Linked DNA regions of Struthio camelus. The main gene of each other region encodes a partner of the protein of the gene in region 3 in a complex. Links are inferred from orthologs where the notes say so. Each region holds a gene or a part of one and is shown on either strand. Other genes may lie near its edges.

Region 1 (7,153 bases), on a different chromosome or scaffold from region 3:
AAGTCAAAGTCTGCTCTCTTGAAGCACAGCTTTATTCTGCTACTCACCCTCCTCACTCCCCTCAGGAGCCTGAACTCCACTATTTCATAGTTACTACAGCCAAGGTTGCCATTGATTATCATGTTTCCAGTCAGTTCTTCCTTGCTCATGAACTGCAGATTCAGGAGACCACATCCCCAGGCTGGCCAATCCGTTGGTCCATACTGGTGTTAAGATGTTACTCTCAGCTCACCCTAAAAATCTCCTGGAGTGCTTGCATCCCACTGCACTGCCCTCCGAGCAAATAGTGGGGAGGGTCTGTGATGTGGACACTTCCTCAACTTACTTAAAGAAGAAATCATGCATCATTTTCTCTGGATCAAGTGGTCTATAACAGACTCCCACGATGTTGTCACCCTTACTGGCTCCTCCTCTGCTCCTGACCCACAAGTTCTCGTGGTGACTGTCCCCCATATTCCACCAAAGAGTTCCATGCATCCATGCTGCTCCTTCCCCCAACAGGCAACCCTACACACACTATTCTTCCTGCGCATCTTTCCCAGGCAGCCTGTCTCCGTGTATCACAGAACTCCAGTCGCGCAAGCCATCCCATCACATGTCAGTAACTGAATCGTTTCATAGGTCTGTGACCGCACATAGCCTGTTTCCTCAGCTGCCTATACTCAATTCAGGCTTTGCAGTCTCTGAAGCTGCCTTTGACTGAGCCACTTCCTCCCCCTCAGCTACCAGAGCACTGTATCTATTCTGTAAATGAAGATCCAGGGTGGAAGAGGGCATTTTGGTAACATTATAATTTTGTTAGTGGTTTAGTCATTTAAGTTACTTCAGAATTTGGATAGACTGAATGTAATTGACTTCACGTTTTTCTTTTCTAATCTGAGAATCTAGACAGTTCCTCAGCCTTTAATAAGTAAATCTAAAGCATGTATCTTCCTACCTTTAGATAATTTATTTTTTGTAAAAAAAAAAAAAAAATTGATTAAGAGGAAAATAATCCCATTTTTTCCTGCACTACCCTCAGCCTCTTGAGCTGGATTCTGCACAGCTTACTGGTCTAGCAAGTCAACATCTCTCTTGCCACCTTCCCAACCCTGATACAATACCATATTTGTTTTTTTATCCAGCTAATTGCTGTTCAAGTATAATTCCAGCCATCTTTAATATCAGATTTGATTTTTATTCACATTCTTTTCTTATGATCCACTATTTTTTTTCAGATAGCCACCTGAAATAAAGTGCACAGATAAAAGAGGATACAGACTTAATCCTGTGCATATCCCAGTCTAGTAAGACTCTTTGAGCCTAAAGTTCACAGAGAGAGATTATCCACCAGAGCTATCTGCAAAACAGTGGAAACTTAAAAGAAATATTCTATTTGATTAAAAAAATCAAAACAATTAATTTAAAAAACAAATATAAAAGAGGTGACAGAACAATAGCGTACAGAATTCACTTGGGATAGAGAAGATCCCCTGCGTCAACTCCTACTTATACATATAATTAATTCAAACATAAGTTTCTCACAGCCCTTTCGAGTGGTGTTATCCTAAGCCCATTTATTGTTCAAAAGCAAGTTAACACGTCTTTGGTTCCAAGTACAGGTTCTATGTTAGATTGGAATTCCACACATGATGTTTCATCAGTTACCCTTCTAAAAAAGGTTTTTGTTCTGATAAAGCTATGCTGCCACACAAATGGTTTTGTCAAAACCAAGTAAATGAGATAATCGTACCTATGCAACCGAGATTTGCTAACCCCTACTACCACAAAGCTTCAGAGCTCTGCAAAAATGGACCTAAAAACACTGTTTAAATAGGTGCCACTGCTTATTAGTTTAAATCACTAGCAAATTATTACCTCTCTTCATTATCTTTTTCACCCCTTCCTAGTTCAAATGATTTGCTTACTGAAACTCATTAGGTGTGCAAATGCCCTAGATATCATTTTCCTGGTGATTTCCAGGTGGAAGCTGCAAATTTTAGTCAAAACTGAATTTTTGGGTCAGTTACACCAAAGCCACAACCCCACACTCTGCAGCATATTTGCTGCAAGTTTCCCTTCTTATTTCCTTTAAGAATGAATAAAGGCTTCTTATTTAAAAACTCTTTTTTAAAGAAAATAAAAGCTCTCTATGCCTCCATATGCTGCAGTCCAAAAAAATAACTTACAATTTCGGCTGAAATGCATACGTCTTGTAAAATAGGGCATACATGAGCTCTATTTGCTTGGTCTGTTCCTTCCCGTCCCCAGCGGTGGCTCCGTGTGCTCTGTGCTATTGAGCTGAGCCCAGGGCAAGTCCCCACCACAAAGAAAGAGATGAACCCCTCTGCCTAATTACAGCGCTAACAACGCAATCAGCTGACACTAAACTCTAGTGCCTTGACTTGAACACCCAGCTAAGAGAGACTAAAGAGAGAGAGAAACACAGCTCAGAGTGCTACGACTAGAGGTGGAAAGCGTCTGCTAAACTCACTGCCCTGAGAAGAGCGGCCCGAAAGGCAGCTCCGGGGCTGGGGGCACCCTGCCACACCCGCTACCACCAGGATTGAACCGGTCCTGGAGCCCCGGCAACGAGCGCGCCGCTGCGGAGGAGGGGGGGGGGTGCAACTGCCCGCAACCGCTTCAAACTCTTTTCCAACCGCCATCGCCGACAGGGCCACCCCTCCCCCCACGCCGGCACCAGCCGCCCCTCGAGCCGCAGAGTAACGGTCAGAGGGGTCTCGTGCTCTCCCAGCCCCCTCACCAGGTGCCCTCTCCCTTACCTGCGGGCCGGCACGGCACGGCCGGGCACGAGCGAACGGGTGACTGAGGGCGTCCACCGAGACCACCACCACCACTACCTCCCGCCCGCCCCCCCGGCTCAGCCTCCAAGCCGCGTCCGTCGCCTTTCGCGTCCCCCCGCGCAACGAGAGCCCCGAGGCGGCGGGTTCCGGTCGTGCCCGCGTGGAGGAGGGAGGGAGGGAGGGAGGAAGACAACCGGAGCGGGCGCTCGCGCAGGAAGGGGCGGGGCCAGGGCGGAAGCGGCTGGGCGACGTGCGGGACAGGGTAAGCGGCCGTTGGCGCCCGCCTCGCGCGCCGGGCCCGGAGCCGTTGGGGATTGAGGGGGGGCGGTCTCCACGCGACCGTTACTGGCGGCGGGAAGAGGCCGGGGGTGGTGGCGACGGAGGGAGAACGGGCGCCGGGTATCGGCGCGCCGCCTTCGGCAGCCCGGCGTTTGCCGCCTCCTCCCCTCACGGCTCGCTGACCGCGAAGCGCGGCGCCTGCCCGTGCCCTCGTTGCCGTTAGCTTTCTGTTTCCTGAGCGAGGTTTGGCTGGAAACTGGCGGTCGAGGCGTTTATTGGTGAAGAGCACTAATAACTGATGAAGGAAAAGACACCTGTAGTCTTCCTCATCTGGCAGTTGGGGGACTCTTCTTTAAGCTTTTCTCCATCTGCCGCCCCCCCCCCCCAAACCACCAAAAAAAGCTGGAGTCTGGTTTTCAGTGATTCTCCGTGTCTGAACACTTGGTCTGCTTTTTCTGGACTGACAGACTGCTGAGTGAAGGTCGCAGTGCAGGCTTTATGTCATCGTTCCGCAAAGGAATTTTTACTCAGTGGCATTATTTTCTGCAATAATTGAACTTTAGTGTGCTGCCTTGCTAAGGTTTGTCTTGTATTCTTCATACTTTACTTTGCTGAAATACATATATTTTTTATTGGTATACTAGTCTGAAATTCAGATGCCTCTCTATTTCTCTCTGGTTTGAAAATCATACAGTTATTTGGATTCACTTGAGGATATAACGGTAGCCCTAAAGTTTACAAGCAAATTGGTCTGGTGAACAGACATCTAATTCAGATTTGCAAAGTTATCTCTCTTAAAGCACAAATACTGTTTTCTGTTAAGCTAAATATTTGTTAGAGGAAACTATGTCTTTAAATGACTTGCAACATCAAACACTTCACAAACATTACTGTCTCTATTTTAAAAAAACCTTTTGTTTTCCTATAGAATAATCAACAAATAAACAAGGTCCTTTTCAGGAACTAAAAGGAAGTGAATGTTTGTGTTTTGTGTGTGTGGGTTTTTTTAGTTTTTCATTTATATTTCCTGGAAACAGTTTTTTTTAAACACTTTTCTGTACTATATCACTAGCGTGATAGCTCAGTAAAACTAATTTAGCTGGAATTTAGTGCCTGTAGAGAGAGAAACAGAAATGGTAACAAACAATATTACTAGTGAAAAATAAGCATGATTAATAGATATTAAGCAGCTCAACATGATTGTTACACTAAATGTAGACAAAAAACTTTTTTCTTGTCTTTAAAGTATGTTGCAAATACTGTGATGTTTGTTATTTTTGTCCAGCTGACTTCTTCATTTCACAATATCAATAGCAGCTACTGTAAATATGAGTAATATAGCATACAAGTCCATCTCTTCCCACACTCTTCCTTCTCTAATTAAACTGTAAAACGTGTGGGAAGAGGCATTACCATCAAGACAGTGAACAATCTGATATCCTGTAAGTTTTGTTAGTGCTATGTTTTGTTTTATTGTGAATGTCTGGGTGTTTCTCTCTCAGTAAGCTGCCAGTGGATCCTTAAATTAACCACCTTTAACAGCAGGGTGGCAGTCATATACATACTTTCAAAGGAAAGGCTGTGCTTAAACACAGAAGTAAGATGTACCCTGCAGAGCCAAAATAGTGGGGAAAAACAACTAAATTTGAAGAAGGAGGGGGAAGGTAAAAACCCAGGCTTTATAAAGATCTGTGCTTAGGGATAGGCTGTTAGTATCTAAACTAAAAGATGGGAGTGGGTTGACATATGGTAGTGCAAGCGTGTACAGTTGGTTGAAGTGATTATGCAAGAAGGGCTTGAGTACATTTGCACAAGGGACAATTGAAAGAAACGCAGGTAAGTCATTTATAGATAGAACTCCCAGAGAGATTTATTTTGCTTTCTTTTCTGTAAAAGACTTGTTTGGAACAAAATTAACCTAGTTGTAGTTTATATTATATTTATAGACTGAACTTCAAAATCCACAAGGGAATCCCTTAAGGAAAATGTCAATTGCTCTAGGACACGTTCCCTGTGTGACATTGAGTTAAAAACTCCCCTTGTGCTTCAGCCTTTTCTCTTACATAACGGAAATTCAGGAACCTTTGTCCTTACGAGGCTATTGGGAGGCAAGTCCCAGTGATGAGGTAGCATTTTTTTTTTAACTTTATTGGTATACCTATCTGAAATTCTGATGTTATGATGATGAGGCATAAACATTTTTACAGTAACTAACTGTATAAATAAATCCAAATCAAATGTTCTGCTGCTCTATTGAAATAAGTGTGTTTATATAACGATTCACAGTCATTACAGAAGCACATTTTGTTTAAAAATGCTTTTAGAAGTTTTAGGGTTATTGGAAATTATCAGAAGTATAAAAGCAATAGCGTCAGTGCTGAAAAGCTCAGCGCAGAAAGCAGAGTGACATTTTTTGCCACTAGTCCTCCCTATCTTTTAGTCTGAAAAAGCCTGCCTGTTTTTTGGTCTTGATCTGAAAAGTACATAACTTACAACATCCACTTCTCTTCCAGTTTGCTAAGAAACTGCAAACTTTTCTCCAAAGCAGTGAAAGAACAAAATTTAAATTGACACAAAAGTTAAGGAAAAAAATACTAGTAAGCATCATATTCGATTAACCATTTTTAGTATATGGTTGCAATAAGGGGAGAAGATTCAGTGCTTCCTGTGGGAGCTAGTGAAGAGTTATTACTGTGATCTACTCATGAATGAGACAATAGATATCAGTGGTGTCTATGCAGTGTTGAACTGCATGTATGGATTAGGACAAACTTCAGAACTTGGGCTTTTCTAACAATGGTGACGCGTGCTGTTCTTTTATTTTAACCGTACACAGCAAAACTTGTTACCAGGGCAAAAGCCACGTTTCTGGTATTAGCTAATGTGGATGATGAAAACTTTGATGAGCTCTGAAGTATCTTTGTTGTAATATTTAAATAACAGTGCCTTTATCTTGATAATTCTAGAAAATGAAGTGATTAAATGGGGTAGAGGAAAATCTTTTATTTAAACCATTACCAGGAACAGAGGATAGGGACCCTTTGAACATAGCAGGTGGCTTTGCATTGGTCACTATCTGTCTGAGACTGGAAAAGAAAATTTCCTAAATAGATGCTTGAGGTAATGTTACCGAACTAACTTTTTGTGTCTAAAAGGTTTTTGATGTCTAGAGAAATAAGAGCAAGAGAAACCTGGATTAATCTAAATCTCCTAACTTAAAGATGAATTACAAACAAAAACCCGTAAGTTACCAAGCTAGGTTTATCATTTGACAGTTGCACAGACTATGGAACTTAGAGGTCAGAAATTACACTGCCCATCTCGAGGTAACTGTTTGTGAAAAGTAAAGGCAAGAGAACTTTTAGTACTGCTTTCTGAAGTTGAAAGTGTATTAGAGAGGGACACCTGCATTTATAATTCAGAGATAGGTAAAAGGTGACTTACAAAAGGTTTCCTCAACTGTTGAGCTCTAGCTGTTTTTCTAATTGCTTCCTTTGTGGGGTAACACCTGCAGAATTTATGAGATGCAGTGCAGGTGGAGAAAGAGCAGGAGGCAAAATGGTCCTTTTTAAGGGGCTGGATGTGTGGAAGAAAAGGGAGGGAAATCATCAGCTATACTTGATGCAGTTCTGGGAAAGTGAGAGGAAAAAGATCTAGATGATAAAATGATTGTGAGTTCACAAGCTGCGAGTTCAAGAGATAGGAGAATAAGTGTTAAATACATGCAATATCCTTGGGACTATATAGGAAAAAAAATCCCAGTGTTTCTTTGTGAAGATGAATGATCTCATAAGATAGAAACAGAATAGTAGAATACGAGAATGAAATAAATAATTTTCTGTGTGTAATGTGTTCAGAGTGAAATGATGCATATGTGGCTTTTGTGTAGCTTGAAATGGTAAAAGAGGCAGGGTCTGATTGTGATTATAATAGCATAAGAATGAAGTACTCTTTCTGCCAGTGAGGATAATATTCCATGGACTAGCTGTTCAAGCCTCAAGCCACTTTCAACTATTTCAGGAGACCTCTGGGCCTGAAACGGAGTAGAAAGGAGAGAGTCGCTACGAGTTGTGCTTGTAGTTGCAGCTTCC
Region 2 (7,586 bases), on a different chromosome or scaffold from region 3:
GCATGTTCCTTCTTATTGATACTACTCAAGGATGACAAAACTGATCAACTGAAGATTTTCATACTGCTGAACCAACAGCTATTTTAACCTGTCTTTCACTTGATATATCTTGTGGATTGATGAACAATTCAAGCATATTTGCAAACTGAGCAGATTCCTGAGGCTTCTGACAGTCTGTTAAGGTGGCACTTCACACTAGTCAGCAAGTGTAATCTTACCTTGGAATACAGAAGGAAAACTATAAGAAAAGTTATACATATACCAGACTCACGTATTTCTGAGACACTAGAACATCAAAGCAGAATCTCAAATAATTATGTCAAAAGGAGAAAGAAATGGATGTACAAGCTAAAAAAAAATCTTGTTAATGTCTCCCATCTTTCAATACTGAAATCCGTATCAGTTCTGAATGGACAGAAGAAAAGAACAAGCAAGGGAGAAAGAAGAGTGCTTTCTCCACATCTGAATTCACTTGCATGGGAGTTGGAAGAGGCAATTAAGATGATCAAGTGGTCAGTGTTACAAAGACGGACACCAGGGCAACAAGTCATTAAAGATAGCTTAAAAGTTTTTTTTTTATTTAATTCCAGGAAGGCCAAAGCAATGGCTAATACATGAGCACTTCCTTAGATGTTGTTGATCAGAGACTGTCAAGCAGGAAACATCTAGGACAGCGATCAACGAAAAATACATGCAGGCGTAACAAGGTACACATAAATAAATTGTGTTTATAAGTTAACAAAAATTAATTTGACACATAAGGAAGCACTCTGCTTTTCAATTTTATCTAATTCCATCATACGCAAATATATGTTGCATGTAGCTAAAATCTCAGTTATGCATACAACGTTTCTGTTTTTCGGGTATATAAAACTTCAGTCTTGTGAATTCAGTTTTGCCTGGAGCCATCCACACAATTCTCACCATCATAAGTAGTTAATAATCTGTTCTTCTGCTCACAAATCCTTTTTTTTTTTTTTTACTCCCTTTAAGATGGTTGTCTCTGCTCTTATCTTTATGCCCAATGTGCAAAACACCTCCTACATTTCATTCATGGTTATCACAGATTTATGTTATTCCAGTCTAGGATAATTAGCTAGATGAACCGGACTTACTTGAAATCTCTGTGAAAGTTATAAATACGTACCGAAGTGTAATGGCCCGAGCAACTGGATCATTGCTATGAATTACTGAGAAAATTCTTTTCACAAACTCATCCACATTGAGAATCTTCTCTAAGTGCTTCTCACTCTGCTGAGTAACTTTGAGCACACACAGCCTCAGGAAGTTGTTTCTATTGGAAAATACACGCTTATCTTTAACAGACTGTATTATAACAGAAATTCAAAACAAAAAAGCACTTTAAGCAAGCAAAATGATTACTAAAGATATTTGAGTTAGTTAAAACGAGGCAAAGTCTATAACTTTAGAGATAGTACGTTTCAGTAGGCTGATACAGTTAAAAAGAAAATATTAACAAACTACTTTTAATAGTACAGTTAGCATCAAATTTAGGCCCAATTCTCTTCCAGGGAAACTGGCCTGTTGACATCCATGAAAACGCACTGAACACCTGTGTTGTACATGCTTAGGGACCCAGCTCTGCTAGAAAAGCCTTGAACTAAAACTTAGCTTAGCTAACTAAGCCTTAAAGTCTAATCACCTTTGGCTGGTTTGAGTGAATTTCTTTTCCTTCCTCTTGGTTTTACCTTATGAATCTTTTAAATGAAATCAAAGGCAAACTTTCTGCGCATATAATTTTCGTAAGTTATTACAAAGCAGTTGTAATCCTGCCACATGCATCATTTCGGCATCAGGCACTTGGAAAAGCTATACAGTGGTCTTCGCTATTCACATCATAGCAAAGCAATTTGCAGCAATCTGAATGTTCAATTATTTCTGATCTTGAACGTGCCTACAGGGAGGAATGTGCATCACTGAACTTAATCTCTCACAGCCACTTAAGCCACTAAGGATGGAGCAGGCATGCTCCAAGGAAAAGCGGACGCAGTCCTCTAAAGACTAGGCATCACTGCGCTATTATCGAGCGAGCAGAAAAACACCAAAGCTGCCCAGATGCCGATGTAGCAGGACCTCAGGATAAAATACCTTACTATAGGCCAGAGATTTGAAGCATTACAAACTGACCGATAATACTCACCCAACTCTGAAAACATCAGCTAGCTTTAGGAAAGCAGAATTAATGAGAATAGGGAAGGGATATTTCTGGAAGAGCCTGGGAAAACGAACGACAGCTTCGCACTGCTCCCCGAGTTTGCCAGACCTGAGACCTGTGTGAGACAACAATAGCTACTGAGGAGGCCGAAGCTCCTCCACCCGCGCTGGCGGTGGGGCGGTACAAAAGGAAGCTCCCGGGACTCGCCCTCGAGGGGGGTCGGAGGAAAGGAAGAGGAAGCGGGGAAAGGGGGTACGGGGCGCACCGCCCGGCGGGCGCTAGGGCCCAGCTCGGGGCCGCCCCCTGCAGCGCCGCGCCGGGCAGAGCGCGGGCGCCAACGGCGCCAACGGCAGCCGCACGCGCCCGGACGCCACGCGACAGGTAACACCCCCCCCCGCGCCGCGCGCAGCCCCAGCCCCGCCCCCAGGCCGGCCCCCCGAGAGCGGCCCTCGCAGCCGGCCCGGCCTCCCCCGGCCCTACCTTTGTCCAGCTCCATGAGAGCGGAGTTGGCGTCCAGCTCCTGCTCCCCGTAGCCTGCATCGGCCAGGAAGGATTTGGCGCTGGCAGCCATAGCGACCCCCCCTCACAGCCGGTCGCCGGGAGCGCGCGGCCTTCCGCTGCGTCCGCCGCCCCTGCCCACCGCGCATGCGCAATCACCCTCCCGCCGCTTTCAGCCCGGAGGCGCCTAAGCAATCGCCGCACGACTTGTGAGCAGGCGCAGGCGCCACCCGGGGGAGCGCGGCGCCGGCGGCGCGGCACTGCGCGTGCGCGCCCCAACGGCCCTCCCCGGCCGGCGGCTCGCTCCCCGTGAGTCGCCGGGGAGCGGGAGAGGCCTGGCGGCCCTGCCCCTCCACTCCGCCCAATCAGAGGCAGCGGGCGGGGCGCAGCGGGCGCCGGCTGCCCAATGAGGGGCGGCGGCGCGTTTGGCGGGTCGGTTGGGTGGCGGGAGTTGGCGCCGCGGGGTGGGGGTCGGCGCGCGCCGAGCGTTGGCCATGCTGTGCCGCTCGCTGCTCCGCCGCGCCTGGGCCGCGCCGCCCCGTGAGTGCCGCCGCCGGGCTCGGCTCGACCCAGCCGCCCGGGCCCGTGGCGGTGGGCGCCCCCCGGGGAGGGCCCTGCCCGGCGCCGGGGTCGCTCCCGGCGCCGCCGGCGCAACGGGGCCCGCCGCGGTGCGCGCGGCCGGTGCCATTACAGCCCCTTTGTCTCCCTGCAGGTCAGTCGTCGGCGTATCCCCTGCAGCACCTCTTGGACGGCTACCAGTGCAGCCGGGAAGATGACCACCTGTCTTACGGAGAAGTGGGAATGCCGGTTCCGCCCTTCGGCTGCACCTTTTCTGCAGGTAAAGGTATTTTCTGAAGGTCCGGGCTGTGGATACTGTGCATACGTGTGCTGGAAGTAGTCTACTTATTTATTTTAAAATCTCATGATTTGTTTTCACAGTTTCTTGTTTTACACCCAGGACAAAGCAAATCACATAGTCAGTTATAACAGACAAACTTTTAGGCCAAAAGACCTTGTAATTTTTTTCAGGGATTCATGAGATAAAGTGTTTTTACATTAAAGTGAGCTGATAACAGTGTAACTGCATGTAGGTGTGGTATAAACTGGATCACGGAGTTCCTATCTGTCCTAGTAGAAAGCATTCAGTTAAGGGACTAAGTACAAAGCATTTACTGTAATGGCTTTCTGTTTCAGCTTTGTCCGTGTCAAGGTTTGTCCTCTTAATGTACAGCTATGACACTACTAGGCTAAAGATTTGAAAAATCGGGCTTTGTGCAAAATACATAAGAGCTGGAGCAGGATGAAGGACAGTGAGTGGCGAATCAGGAGCAGGATGTATGCCACTAGATGTCTATGTAGCGTTTCCCCATGATAGATATCCCTGTAGTGTTTCCCCATGATAAATACGTGATGAATGAAGTAAGCATAGAAGCTTAGGTCTTTGTCCTTTAGGTCGCAACTCTTTCATTTGCAAAAGTAGTCTAGTACTGGCATGAGCCTTTCTCCAAGGCTACTTCCTGCTTTTCCATCTCAGACCCGTAGAAAGCACTGGAGGTTGTAGAGGGCAGGTAGTAATGATGTAAAACAGGAACTGTCACAGCTGCCAAAAGAGGCTGTTATCTCACAATCTGCTCTTTGAGCCATTGGTTCTCCCATATATAGTAACTCTTGAATGGGATATCTAGAAACATTGCTGGGCAATATTTCTTTGTTTTGAAAATGAGAACTACTGTATAAATATTTTTTATTGGCACAGCAATCTATTTGCTCTATACCCTATTAAAAATGTTTGCGGCCCTTGACCAAGGGTGGGGGGGATGGTCATGAATTATCTACTTAGTACTCAAATAAATTAAAATTTCTTTCAGCCCCGAATCTGGAGCACGTACTGGCAGTTGCAAATGAAGAAGGATTCGTTAGACTGTATGACACTGAAGCTCAATCTAGCAGCAAATTTATCTTTAAGGGTAAATATTATAGAGAATACAATCTTCATTTGATGTGGCAAGTAGATGATATACTGGAATCAGAGAAAACTTTTTCTAAGTTGTTTACACACAAATATGGGCAGTACTTGCATCCTTTCCTATCCTTTCATGAGTGTTGTTTACAGCGGTGTGAGCATGTTCTTAGACTAGCACTACTAAGTGAATTGTTCTGTGTTTGTTTTTCACGCCTAAGGCAAGCTGTTGACAAGTAACAAATTTTGATTTCAGTGTCTGATGTTCTTTTGCGTTCTGCAAAACATCTTCGTGTTGCAATGCACTGAACTAATCCTGGGTTTTCTTCTTCCTGTCAGAATGGCAAGCTCACTCAAATGCTGTCTTTGACATTGCCTGGGTACCAGGGGAACACAGAATTGTAAGAAGACTTTTGCCATCTAACTTTATTTTTAATGCTTTGGCAACTTGCTGCAGAGAATGACTAAAGCTGTTTATTCTTTCTCTTTAAGGTCACTGCTTCAGGAGACCAGACAGCCAAGGTGTGGGATGTGAGAGCTGGGGAGCTTCTTGGCATATGCAAAGGTCACCAGTGTAGCCTCAAGTCAGTTGCTTTTTCTAGGTTTGAGAAAGGTAAACGTTGACATTTTCTGCTCCTCTGTTTCTCCCCCTTTTTTTCCCCTTACACATCAATACTTATGAGGGTAAAAAAGGGCTTTAGAAATCGATGGTAATGCACAAATAGCTCAGGCAGATTGTGAGCAGTGACCTAGTCAACGAAGCGAAACTAACTTTTGGGAACTTCTTTTAGGGATAGAAGGTGCGTTCACTGTTTAAGCTTTGCTGTTTTCTTGGGAAAATATAATATATTATTGCAAATACATATGTATATTTTGCATATATTTACATCATATTGTATTATTACAATTTATCTTGGCTTCGAGGAAGTTAGAGTTACAGTAAAATTAGGGCCTTAGGTGTCAGATGCTAGCAGGTGATCTGATGCTAGTATCTGCACGTTTCTAATCTTGGACAAGTTTAAGACATGATGTTGGAATCATTCAGCCCTTATTTACGTAGAGAAGTGTCTAAATAACTCTTTTCACAGGCAGTCCTTTCTGGAGCAGTAAGGAAAGACTAGGCAGAGTAAGGAAAGCAGTTAAGTGTTGCAGGATCAAGGCCCAATTTGCGTATATCTGGGACTGGCATCCCAAGTGTTGGGGCAGAAGAGCCAGAGGCACATATGTGGGATTGTACTGAATTCAGTTAATTAAATTAACACCTTTGGATGCTAATAGTTCTCTCTCTCTCCGCCCCCCACCCCCAGCTGTCTTCTGTACTGGAGGGAGAGATGGAAACATCATGGTTTGGGATATCAGATGCAACAAGAAAGGTAACTGAACTGAACAGAAGGGCTTACTATCTTGTGTGGGAAGTAATATTCAAATATACTTGTTGGACTGGAGCTTTTGCCACTTTGTAACAGTTTCAGATTTGCAGCATGATCTACATGCTGTCCTTACAATACACTGTGTATCAGTAGGGAGATGCAGAGAGCACAAAATATATCCTTGGATAGGAGGTCACTGAGATAGATTGGCTGGGCGATAGTGATCAGTGCAGAAGCATCTGCAGGGATGAAGCAAAGCTGAGAAGACTTTAGGCAGAGCAGGAAGGAGAGCAAAACACAAGAGCCTAAGGGCTTGTAGTTCTTGGAAGCAACTCAATGTATTAGGGGAATAACTGCTGAGAGCAGGGTGAGGTGGAGGGCTCCTTCTGCTCCTCCTTCTGCTTCCTGGAGAAGGTCTCTCTTTTCCTTCCCAGGTCATGCCCTTAAATCTCTTCTCAGTTTCTTGCTCTGTCTCCAGCAGTTTCCTGACGTGTGCTGCCAGAACGTCTCACAGTTTCATCTCTCTTGGGTTCTCTAACTCTTGACCCAGCAAGTGGGGGGAAAAGGGAAGCTGTGCATAACGGAAGTGGAAGGTACAGGGCAAAAAAGTATAAAGTAACTGTCTTCTATGACAAGGCTTGTAAAGCAATCGGAGTCTGATCAAGTGAGGAGTACGGGACAAAAGGGTAAATAGAAAATGAGGAAATAGAGTGGAAGAACACTGGAAAACTGCCTGCATGTTCTGCTCTGGATGAAATCTGCTGAATGCTCCTAATCAGGATGCGTGCTGAAGACTTCAGGGTAGTGATTTCCAAAGGCAGTTTGGCTGTACCAGTTTTAGCTTCGGTGTCCAAGCGACACTGACTGCGGCAATTTTTTTATATAGAGTATGCGCCTGTTTTCTATTGTGTTTTTCTCATCAGTGTCATATGTAACTAACAATTTTTGTTTTCAGAATGCGTTTATGATATTTAAAGGTCAATCTCAGCCACTTTTTAGGAAGTTTTCCAAACTGCTGTCTGTTTAATAAAATGATGGCAAGATCATGTTGGCATGGAAACTATTAATTGAGATGTCTTTGATTTCTTTCAGATGGATTTTATAGGCAGGTGAATCAAATCAGTGGCGCACACAATGTGGTTGACAAGCAGACTCCTTCAAAAACAAAGAAGAGGAGGCAGAACCTGAGAGGACTTGCTCCCTTGGTGGTAGGTATCTTGGAGACAAAACAAACGTTGGCCTCTGTTTGGAGGACAGTGTTATGCATAGTAGTCTTCCTAAGAAATTGCAAGGAATATCTAGCTTAAATATGCTAAACGCTTCAATTTATCTTTGCAGAAGCATGTTTTTGTCTCATGGTCACCTGCTTTAGCTAACTTTAGGCACTGTTTAACTGTCTAATAACCTACATAAGTGAAAGCCATCGCTGTGCGAATGCCATGTGAAAACATACCTTTTTTTCCAGAGAGGAGGAATGGCCAGCATTCCTTTTTGGGGAGGAGGGGATGTTCTAATTTTTTTCTTCCAATCTGACCATACAAATGTTTGCCTTATTGGAATAAGATCTGGATTTACTTAATCT
Region 3 (7,232 bases):
GGATTCTATACTTAGCTCTGACCAAGCAATTGAGCAACCTGGAACACAGAGTTGCAGTAATACGTAGTTACAAAAAATTACATCTTTCAACAGCGATCAAGTCTCTCCAGAGTGACAAATACTACAGCACCAGGAAAAAAATTCTTTCTAAACCTAGCTGAGAACTGTTTTCATTTTCCAGGGCCTAAATTAAGTGCTTTAACAACAGTCATTGCAGTTGGGCTACTTATGTCAGTGGACAATACAGATTTCCACAGTATAATACATCCGGTGCTTACACACATTACTCATGTTCTTTCAAATAAAAGGACAACCCTCCCCATGATACAGATGAAATCATAAACTTCAAAAAGCATGCTTATAAAGGCACTTTTAAGAGTTTTATGAATAAAGTCTTCAATTTTATCATTAGCAAGTTATGGACAGCCTGCCCCAGAAAAGGGCGTATTCTCTCTCCTTCTCATGGTTCCTGAGAAGGAAATTAGAGAAATCGATTCTATTACTCTAGGGGTCTGATTGCTGTCTCCAAGATCAAAACACCAGTAGGTGAAGTGCCTCTAACTCCTGGTCCTGGCCACACTCAGGAGTCAGGAAGAGACTTTCAGGATCATCTCAGGTCACTCTTTGAGGGCACACTGTCTCTGACAGCAATATTAGCTTATGGTACTCTGTCCCTTCCCTTTCTCCCCTTCATTACTACATGCCACCCACTCAGCCATGTTGATTCAACTGCTAGCAGGGCCATGGGAACACACGAGGTGAAAAATGAGGAAAAAAAAAAGTAATCTTATTTCTCTAATCCATTTCAGAGAACAGTTCCCAAACAGCCCTGCAGACCTGCTATAATATAAAGGAATATAATGAATAAGCAGCAGGTTGCAGAACCACCTTAAACAAAAAAACGACACTACAAACAGCACATCATCGTACAACTTCTGCTGCAGTTAGTTTTCAGTGCTAGGTTTTTGAAGACCAGTTAAAGTGTAGTTTTCTAGAGATACTAGCAAATTAGTTCTTTACAAAATGTTAACCTTAAGCAAAATAACAGCAGGTTTAGGATTGCAAGAGTTTTTAAAATCTGACTTCTCTCACAGGCTGTGCACTTGAAAATCTGACCTTATCTGTAAATTTAAGAGTCTTCCTTTTGACATAGGTTGCAACACAAAAACGCCAACAGCGTTATTTGCTCAGGAACCACAGTTCTGTTCATGGAAAGCTATGGAACTATAGCAAGTTAAGTTTCTGAAGTTGTATATTCTTAAGTGTAGATTAACCCAACAATGAAAAGTAGTTTCCAAAAAAATTTAATGATAAATACACAGAAAGCTGTAAAACAGTCTCAATCTGCAACCCAAAGCAGGTAAAGTATAGAAAAAAATAAAATGTAACTTACAGTTTAAGTGTCAATTCAAAGTAGAGTACAGTTAAAAGTAAAGGAAGAAGTTAGAAGTAGCATAAGGACATTTATGAGGAAGGTTTCCGCCTGCAATGCAGCTTTGTTCGCTGCAATAAAGTTGTGATTTATCAAGTGAAGGACCAGTGTTTTGATACTATGATGCACACGCTACTTCTCTTATTTGTTATTTTTCCGCAGTAACACACAGAATCCTATTTTTCTGTTGTTAATTTTTTTTTTGAAAAGCTGAAGAGTTTTTCAGAAGCATCATGTTAAAACTGTTTTGCCCACAGCGTAAGCACAAAGTTTCTCTGTTGTAAGAAGAAACTAAGAGCAAGGTAAAGAAACATCAGTTGGGACAGACTTAGATAAAGTTGGGCCAGATTTGGACAGTTTAGTGCTCCGGACAATTTCTTGAGCTCTCTTTTGTCCTTGCCAGCTTAACTTCAGACTGCCTAGGAGGGGCCATCTGTAGGGATAACACAGTTCACGTTCCTGTCACCTGACTCCTGAAACTATTGGCAAAGCTGCCAAGTAAAACCACCAGCAATCATCTGAGGAAAGGGCTAGTCACTCACTCTTGTCACATATGGCTTCCAAGAGCCTGAGCCAGGCCTGAATTAGCAACCCACAGGCCAGTGGCTCCTTATTCTGCAGTTAATCCCATCCTTCTAGATAACAAGGCCAGAAAGAGGAGTCTGGAAACACGCTTGGCTGTCAGCTTTGCTACCTTGTAATAATGCTCCAGCAGGATCCTGACAACCCCTTCCACACTCTCCACTTCCACAGGCTTCCTGGCAAACTGGAGCAGGTACTGCAAGGCATCTGCTGGCGAGGTGGCTTTGCACAGGTCGACGTGGAGCGCCGCGGACTTGCTGGGCTTGGTCAGCCGCAGCTTCTTGGTGGACAGGTCCTCATGCTGCTGCTGCAGGCAGAGGCACACAGGCACGGTTCGGCAACACACAGCAAATTCATACCCACTCTTTCCTGGTGGGTACACTATCCTACTACCAAGCCAGGCTGGGGCAGCTCCGGTGCCTTCAGCACCGCTGGCCTCTTCCCTCTCCATCCCAGGCATGCAGGGGAACAGCGTCCCCTCCACAACCAGGTCTTGTTCTGCCCAAATAGTCCCCGTCCCTGCAGAAACACTGTTTCTCCTCCCCGCCCCCAACCCCAGCCTGGAGCAGGTCCTGCCTCCCCCACTCTCACCCCAGAAAACTGCTGGCACCACAGGGCAAACTCTGCCTCCCCCCCCGCCCCTGGCTGGGGCAGCTCCTGCCCCCCACCCCGGCACCAAGGCGGCCTCCCCTCAACCCTGAGGGGACCACTGCCGTCTCCCCGACCCCGGGGCAGCCCGGTTCTCCCCTCCGGGCAACCCCCGACCCCCCGAGTCCGGGCAAACATCGGCCCTAGGCCTCGGGGCTCCCCCCTGGGCTAGGCCGCGGGACGCTAGCGGCCTTCCCGGCAACGCCTGTCGGAGCCACCCCTCGCAAGGCACCTCTGGGGCTCCCTCCGCGGCCGCCGAGCCCCGCTGCGGTACCTGCACCACCTTGGTGAACTCCTCGTACACCCGCTTCTTCAAGTGCGCCGCCATGCCGCCCGCCCGCCGCCGCCGCCGCCGCCCGCGCCGGCTCGGCCCTCCGCGGCCACCGTACGCGCCTCGCCCGCCTCCCCGGCCTGGAAGAGAAACCACCGCCTTGACGCGGCGAGGCAGCGTCCTCGCTGCAAAGCTGGAGGTCAACGCTCTATGGTCAGAGAGGCGGGAGGGCGGGAAAAACCTCCGCGTTGCCGTGGGAACAGCGCGGGGGTGGGGGGGGAAAGCTCGTCGTTGCCATGGGAACGGCGGCGCCGCGAGACCCCCGCCCCCACAAAGCCTTAAAGCGGGAACCGGCAGGGCGACTTCTGCCGTTGGCTGTGGGGGAACCGCTGCGAGGGCGAGCACGGCTTAAACCAAGCGTAATTAGGGAGTGATTCGAGTCCAATCGCTTAAAGATAAAACCGGGGGGAGGTGAAGGGGGTGGGGGGAAGAGGCCCGTAAATAAAGCACTTCTGCGTCATTCAAAGAGCTTTTGAGGTACGTTTATTTAACAACCCGGGGGTTAGCGCCCTTAGCTGGAAGAAATCCACGTTTTGAGAAGAAAAGGAAACACAGCCGTAATCCAGACGAGCCGTAACGGTTTTCAGGTATCCCCAGAGCGACTGGAAAACACGCTGACAGCCACCTCCAGCCCAAAAAACAAACTGGAATATTAAAAGTTTCAAAAACACGACGTAGAACCCGATCCAGCATCCGGCAAGGCGACGTCGCCGCCGAGGCCTCAGGGTTTTCCTTCAGCCGTCCTCCCTTCCAGTCAAATCACTGCGAGTTGTCCTTATTCTCGCAGAAGCTTATACTAAAAAAATAAAATAAAATAAAAACGAAAGAATAATAATAGCTGTCACAAGGGAAAGAGTGAATAGTGTGGCATGAGGGAGGAGCGTGTGTCATCGGTTTATAAACTCCTTGGATTAGTAGCAGTACTTTTACCTTGTGTTGATCCTGCACGGCAGCTGGGCTTCTCTGTTTTCACTTCAGAATAAATAATAAATAACGGCAATAAATACATTGGCTAGAGAGTAGGCTGTCTGCTGGAGGAACAAGAGGAGAGAACGGGACACCAAAATCCCTTTTTACCTAGGATCTGGTACGGGAAAGAACGCGAACCAGAGCTTTTGGCTTTTGGTTGAAGATCCAAATTTAAGTTGGCATGAATTAATTAATTAATTAATTTCACTGACGCCACTGGGAATTGCAGGAGACCTTTTTTTCCACCAGAAAAGATCATGCCTGGCAATATATGAGAAACAATGAGGAATGAAACACAGAGCCTGGTCCTCTGAACTTATCCAATAGTCAGCAACATATAAAATAGAATAAAATTCATCCTTTTCCTCCTGGCTGGACTGCCTCTGCAAGGCCTGTTACTTCTCAGTGTAGTCAGTAAAAGTGACTGAAAGGCATGAAGGGAATAAGCGTTTTGGAAAAGGTCGTACCACATTTCTAAACACATTATCTTTTAAAATGCACAGTTATCCTCTAATACCTAACAAAACAGTGGCTCGTAAGTGCTGTTTAATTTCGCAAGAAATGTCAAAGGAGATCCTTTCACTGGCTCATCCGTTTCTTCCTGTCTTTCCGGTAGTCCGTGGCTTGGTCTCCACAATCCAAGTCAATTTGTTTGAATAATTGCTTTTTTCCGTTCTCCGTCAATGGTGGCACTTTGCTACCACCAGGTGAACAGGAACTTGTAGAAGTAGTCATAGGATTTGAAGCGAAACCCTTTTTCTGCAACATGGGGCTGAAAGGATATGTTGTACCCTTTGGATTCGACGTCCATTTGAATGCAGTCCAGCAGATCAGAAATACTTGGCGTTGCCTTCCAGGGGCCAAATTTCACCACGGATTTTTTGTCCATGTCCAAGCTGTTCAAGGCATCCTGACATCTGGCAGCATCCTCCTCAGTTCTGACAACGCACACGATGACGCTGGACCGGCGGGAAGCGACCGCTTCTGCCCTCGCAATGCGGATCATCAGCTCGATGTTCTCACTGTAACTGGGCACGCGGGCCAGAAATTGCTTCCTTGCCACTAGCTCCCCAAAGATCTGAGGGGAGTCTTCTAGTTGCTTGATGAGAGGTTCAATGTCGTAGAACAACGCCTCCTTGTACACGTCCTGGATGCACTGCGTGGGCACTTGGTTACTACGCAGATACTCCAGGATATATTTGAAATAGGTCCCCGGCCTGTCAATGAAGAACCTCCCTTCTGAGTCAGTCCTCAGTTTGGGCTGGCCGGTGAACATCTCTGCCAGCTTGGAGCCGGGGTGTTTCTTTAAGGTGCTCAGCGTTGTCGTGTACATCTCCCCACCAACATTTAACTCCACTATTGGTGACAACTGCAACTATCACAAAGGGACAGAAATAACACGCATTACCTATCTCAGGCAGTCAGTATGGAAGGATCAGGGGAAAGGGAAAAATGCTAACTGCAGTTGGAAATTGGAACGGCAGCATGACCAGCTGTGTGAGTCCCCATCGCTTGGTTGACAGATGGGAACATTCAGCCGTCTGCTGCAGGCCATTACTTGCTAAAAGCAGATGCAGGATATGGATATGGCCCTCATAACCAGAGTGGCAGATGTTTGGATGTTTCTAAATGGATTAGCCTTCATCGCATCTTTAGGATGTGGAAAAGTTTCATTTTGCCATTGGGAAAGAGGGACAAGAAGTAACTTGCCCAGGGTCACTTGGGAAGTTGTCAGTAACAGACTGAAGGATTCAATGTGGATCTCCTAAGTCCAGGCAAATGGGACCAAGTGGTCCCGTAAGTGGTCCTCTGGACCACTCTCCTTTCAGAGTGGTCTGCGCTCTCACACTCCTGATGCTTCAACGCAGCGGGATAAGACAGAGTTCAAAGGTGTGCGCAACTCTATTCTTCTCACCTAAATTAATGTTTTCTCTTTAAAGTCGGAACTAAAGCTCTTTGAAACTTTAGAAATGTGCGGGATTGACTCTCACCTTTCTGGGGAATTAGCTATAAACACAGAACTAAGACACTAAAATCCAGCATGTCTGTGGTCAGGCACAGCAGCTTCTTATCAAGCTTAAAAATGTATGATAGCTTTAGACAGAAAATAAAATAATTCGTGCAACTGAAATGAGCTTAAGAAAGAACGTAAAGCCTCCAGGTTGGATTTGTTTGTGTGGGACACTGCACTTTAAAGCCACTGCTCTCAGAAATAATTTGGAGGGGCCTGAATACTCAGAAAGGCTGGACGCTGCGTCACTTTGGGATGACCTTCCTGACTGTTTGATGCAGAAAAAGTTTAACAGCCTCCGTTTGCACTCAGCCAGTTTTTATAGTGGTCAGTACAGCAAAAGGAGAGGGAAGGAATGAGGCAGTTATTTTCCCTCACACCCTCACGTCACGGCTGTAATGCGAGTCACATGCCTGCCGAGGACCACACCTGCCATTGGGAAGGCGTGAGTCAATAAATAACCCTTTTTCCAGGAGCTCACCTGCTCTTGCATTCGGTCATGCAAGGATCTGCTTCAGCGCTACTAGTCACATGCTTAAAGTGAAGCGTGTACTTAAGCGCTTAGCTGGATCCAGCCCACGGTGCCTTGCAGCTACAGACCCATGAGATGACGTGAGCTGCTCTAACAGCTCACGTCAAAAAAAGCGAGGAGCTCCTGCTGCCCTCTCCCCTTTCTATCCTTGTACCTACCCACATGCTTCTGTCGCTCCCCTTGTGCCAGCTCTGGCTCTGCTTCATTTCTGTGAGCTGAACTGGCTCACGAAGGATTTAACAAGCACCAGAGCTGGCAAAATGAGGGGACTAGGAACAGACAAGCCAGAGCAGAGGAGGGAGAGCTTCCCTTTTAAAGAGCCACAAGCTATCAGATTTAGACCCCGCTGGAATATTGTTTTGCAGTAACTCTAGGGTAAGCGGCTTCATCTCAAGAGCACTCATCTACACCAGAGCCAGAGGAGCGTCAAATGATCCTATCTGAGAGCACCTGCTGATTTCCACCTCCTAAAGAACACAGCCCAAAGCTGTTTCTATAGTAAAGCCTCCCAAATGGTAAGGAGCAGCTCAGCTTCACTCCTTAACAGAGGTCACTGAACAGGAATCTCTCCTGCTGCTGAGCCTTTTCTCCTTTTACAGACAGCAGGTCAAATGTTCCATGACATTTGGTACTCTTACCCATGGAAAACTTACTCTTCACTAATAGAATAGCCCTACTAACGTGATGTGCGGTCGGGTCTTGAGTTATGTTTTTGGTCTGGGACCAG

The links.
Region 1: INTS4 (region 3) and INTS12 share a complex: the UniProt entries of both Homo sapiens proteins name them as parts of the integrator complex. The link is inferred for Struthio camelus from reciprocal best matches to the Homo sapiens genes INTS4 and INTS12.
Region 2: the proteins of INTS4 (region 3) and INTS7 are in contact, whole or in part, in a cryo-EM structure (PDB 8RC4), measured with the Homo sapiens proteins. The link is inferred for Struthio camelus from reciprocal best matches to the Homo sapiens genes INTS4 and INTS7. Residues at the interface, in NP_291025.3 of Homo sapiens: Glu536, Met539, Asp540, Arg571, His572, Ala574, Tyr575, Asp578, Ser579, Ser610, Phe613, Arg620, Leu624, Leu627, Gly631, Glu634, Leu635, Phe638, Arg641, Asp642, Arg645, Leu646, Glu648, Leu649, Gln650, Lys677, Leu678, Trp679, Asn680, Val681; in NP_056249.1 of Homo sapiens: Lys137, Asn138, His140, His141, Arg144, Gln145, Gly175, His205, His206, Asp207, Ala208, Ser244, Ser245, Leu246, Val247, Lys282, Thr283, Pro284, His285, Thr286, Thr321, Ile322, Lys325, His326, Gly686, Tyr689, Glu704, Gln707, Gln708, Leu711.

The regions. Positions count from the first base shown.
Region 1 is NC_090945.1:26,092,790-26,099,942, reverse strand, and holds the start of INTS12 (integrator complex subunit 12), read right to left. Parts: upstream 3,006-7,153; 5' UTR 2,763-3,005; intron 1-2,762. UniProt on the Homo sapiens protein: Component of the integrator complex, a multiprotein complex that terminates RNA polymerase II (Pol II) transcription in the promoter-proximal region of genes.
Region 2 is NC_090944.1:114,004,807-114,012,392, forward strand, and holds the start of INTS7 (integrator complex subunit 7), read right to left. Parts: upstream 3,004-7,586; 5' UTR 2,748-3,003; coding exon 2,657-2,747; intron 2,292-2,656; coding exon 2,162-2,291; intron 1,295-2,161; coding exon 1,148-1,294; intron 1-1,147. Other genes in the region: DTL (denticleless protein homolog), read left to right, coding at 3,169-3,214, 3,387-3,512, 4,543-4,641, 4,974-5,035, 5,127-5,247, 5,942-6,007, 7,097-7,212. UniProt on the Homo sapiens protein: Component of the integrator complex, a multiprotein complex that terminates RNA polymerase II (Pol II) transcription in the promoter-proximal region of genes.
Region 3 is NC_090942.1:220,411,196-220,418,427, reverse strand, and holds the start of INTS4 (integrator complex subunit 4), read right to left. Parts: upstream 3,070-7,232; 5' UTR 2,991-3,069; coding exon 2,937-2,990; intron 2,322-2,936; coding exon 2,127-2,321; intron 1-2,126. Other genes in the region: BTB/POZ domain-containing protein KCTD14, read right to left, coding at 4,660-5,337. UniProt on the Homo sapiens protein: Component of the integrator complex, a multiprotein complex that terminates RNA polymerase II (Pol II) transcription in the promoter-proximal region of genes.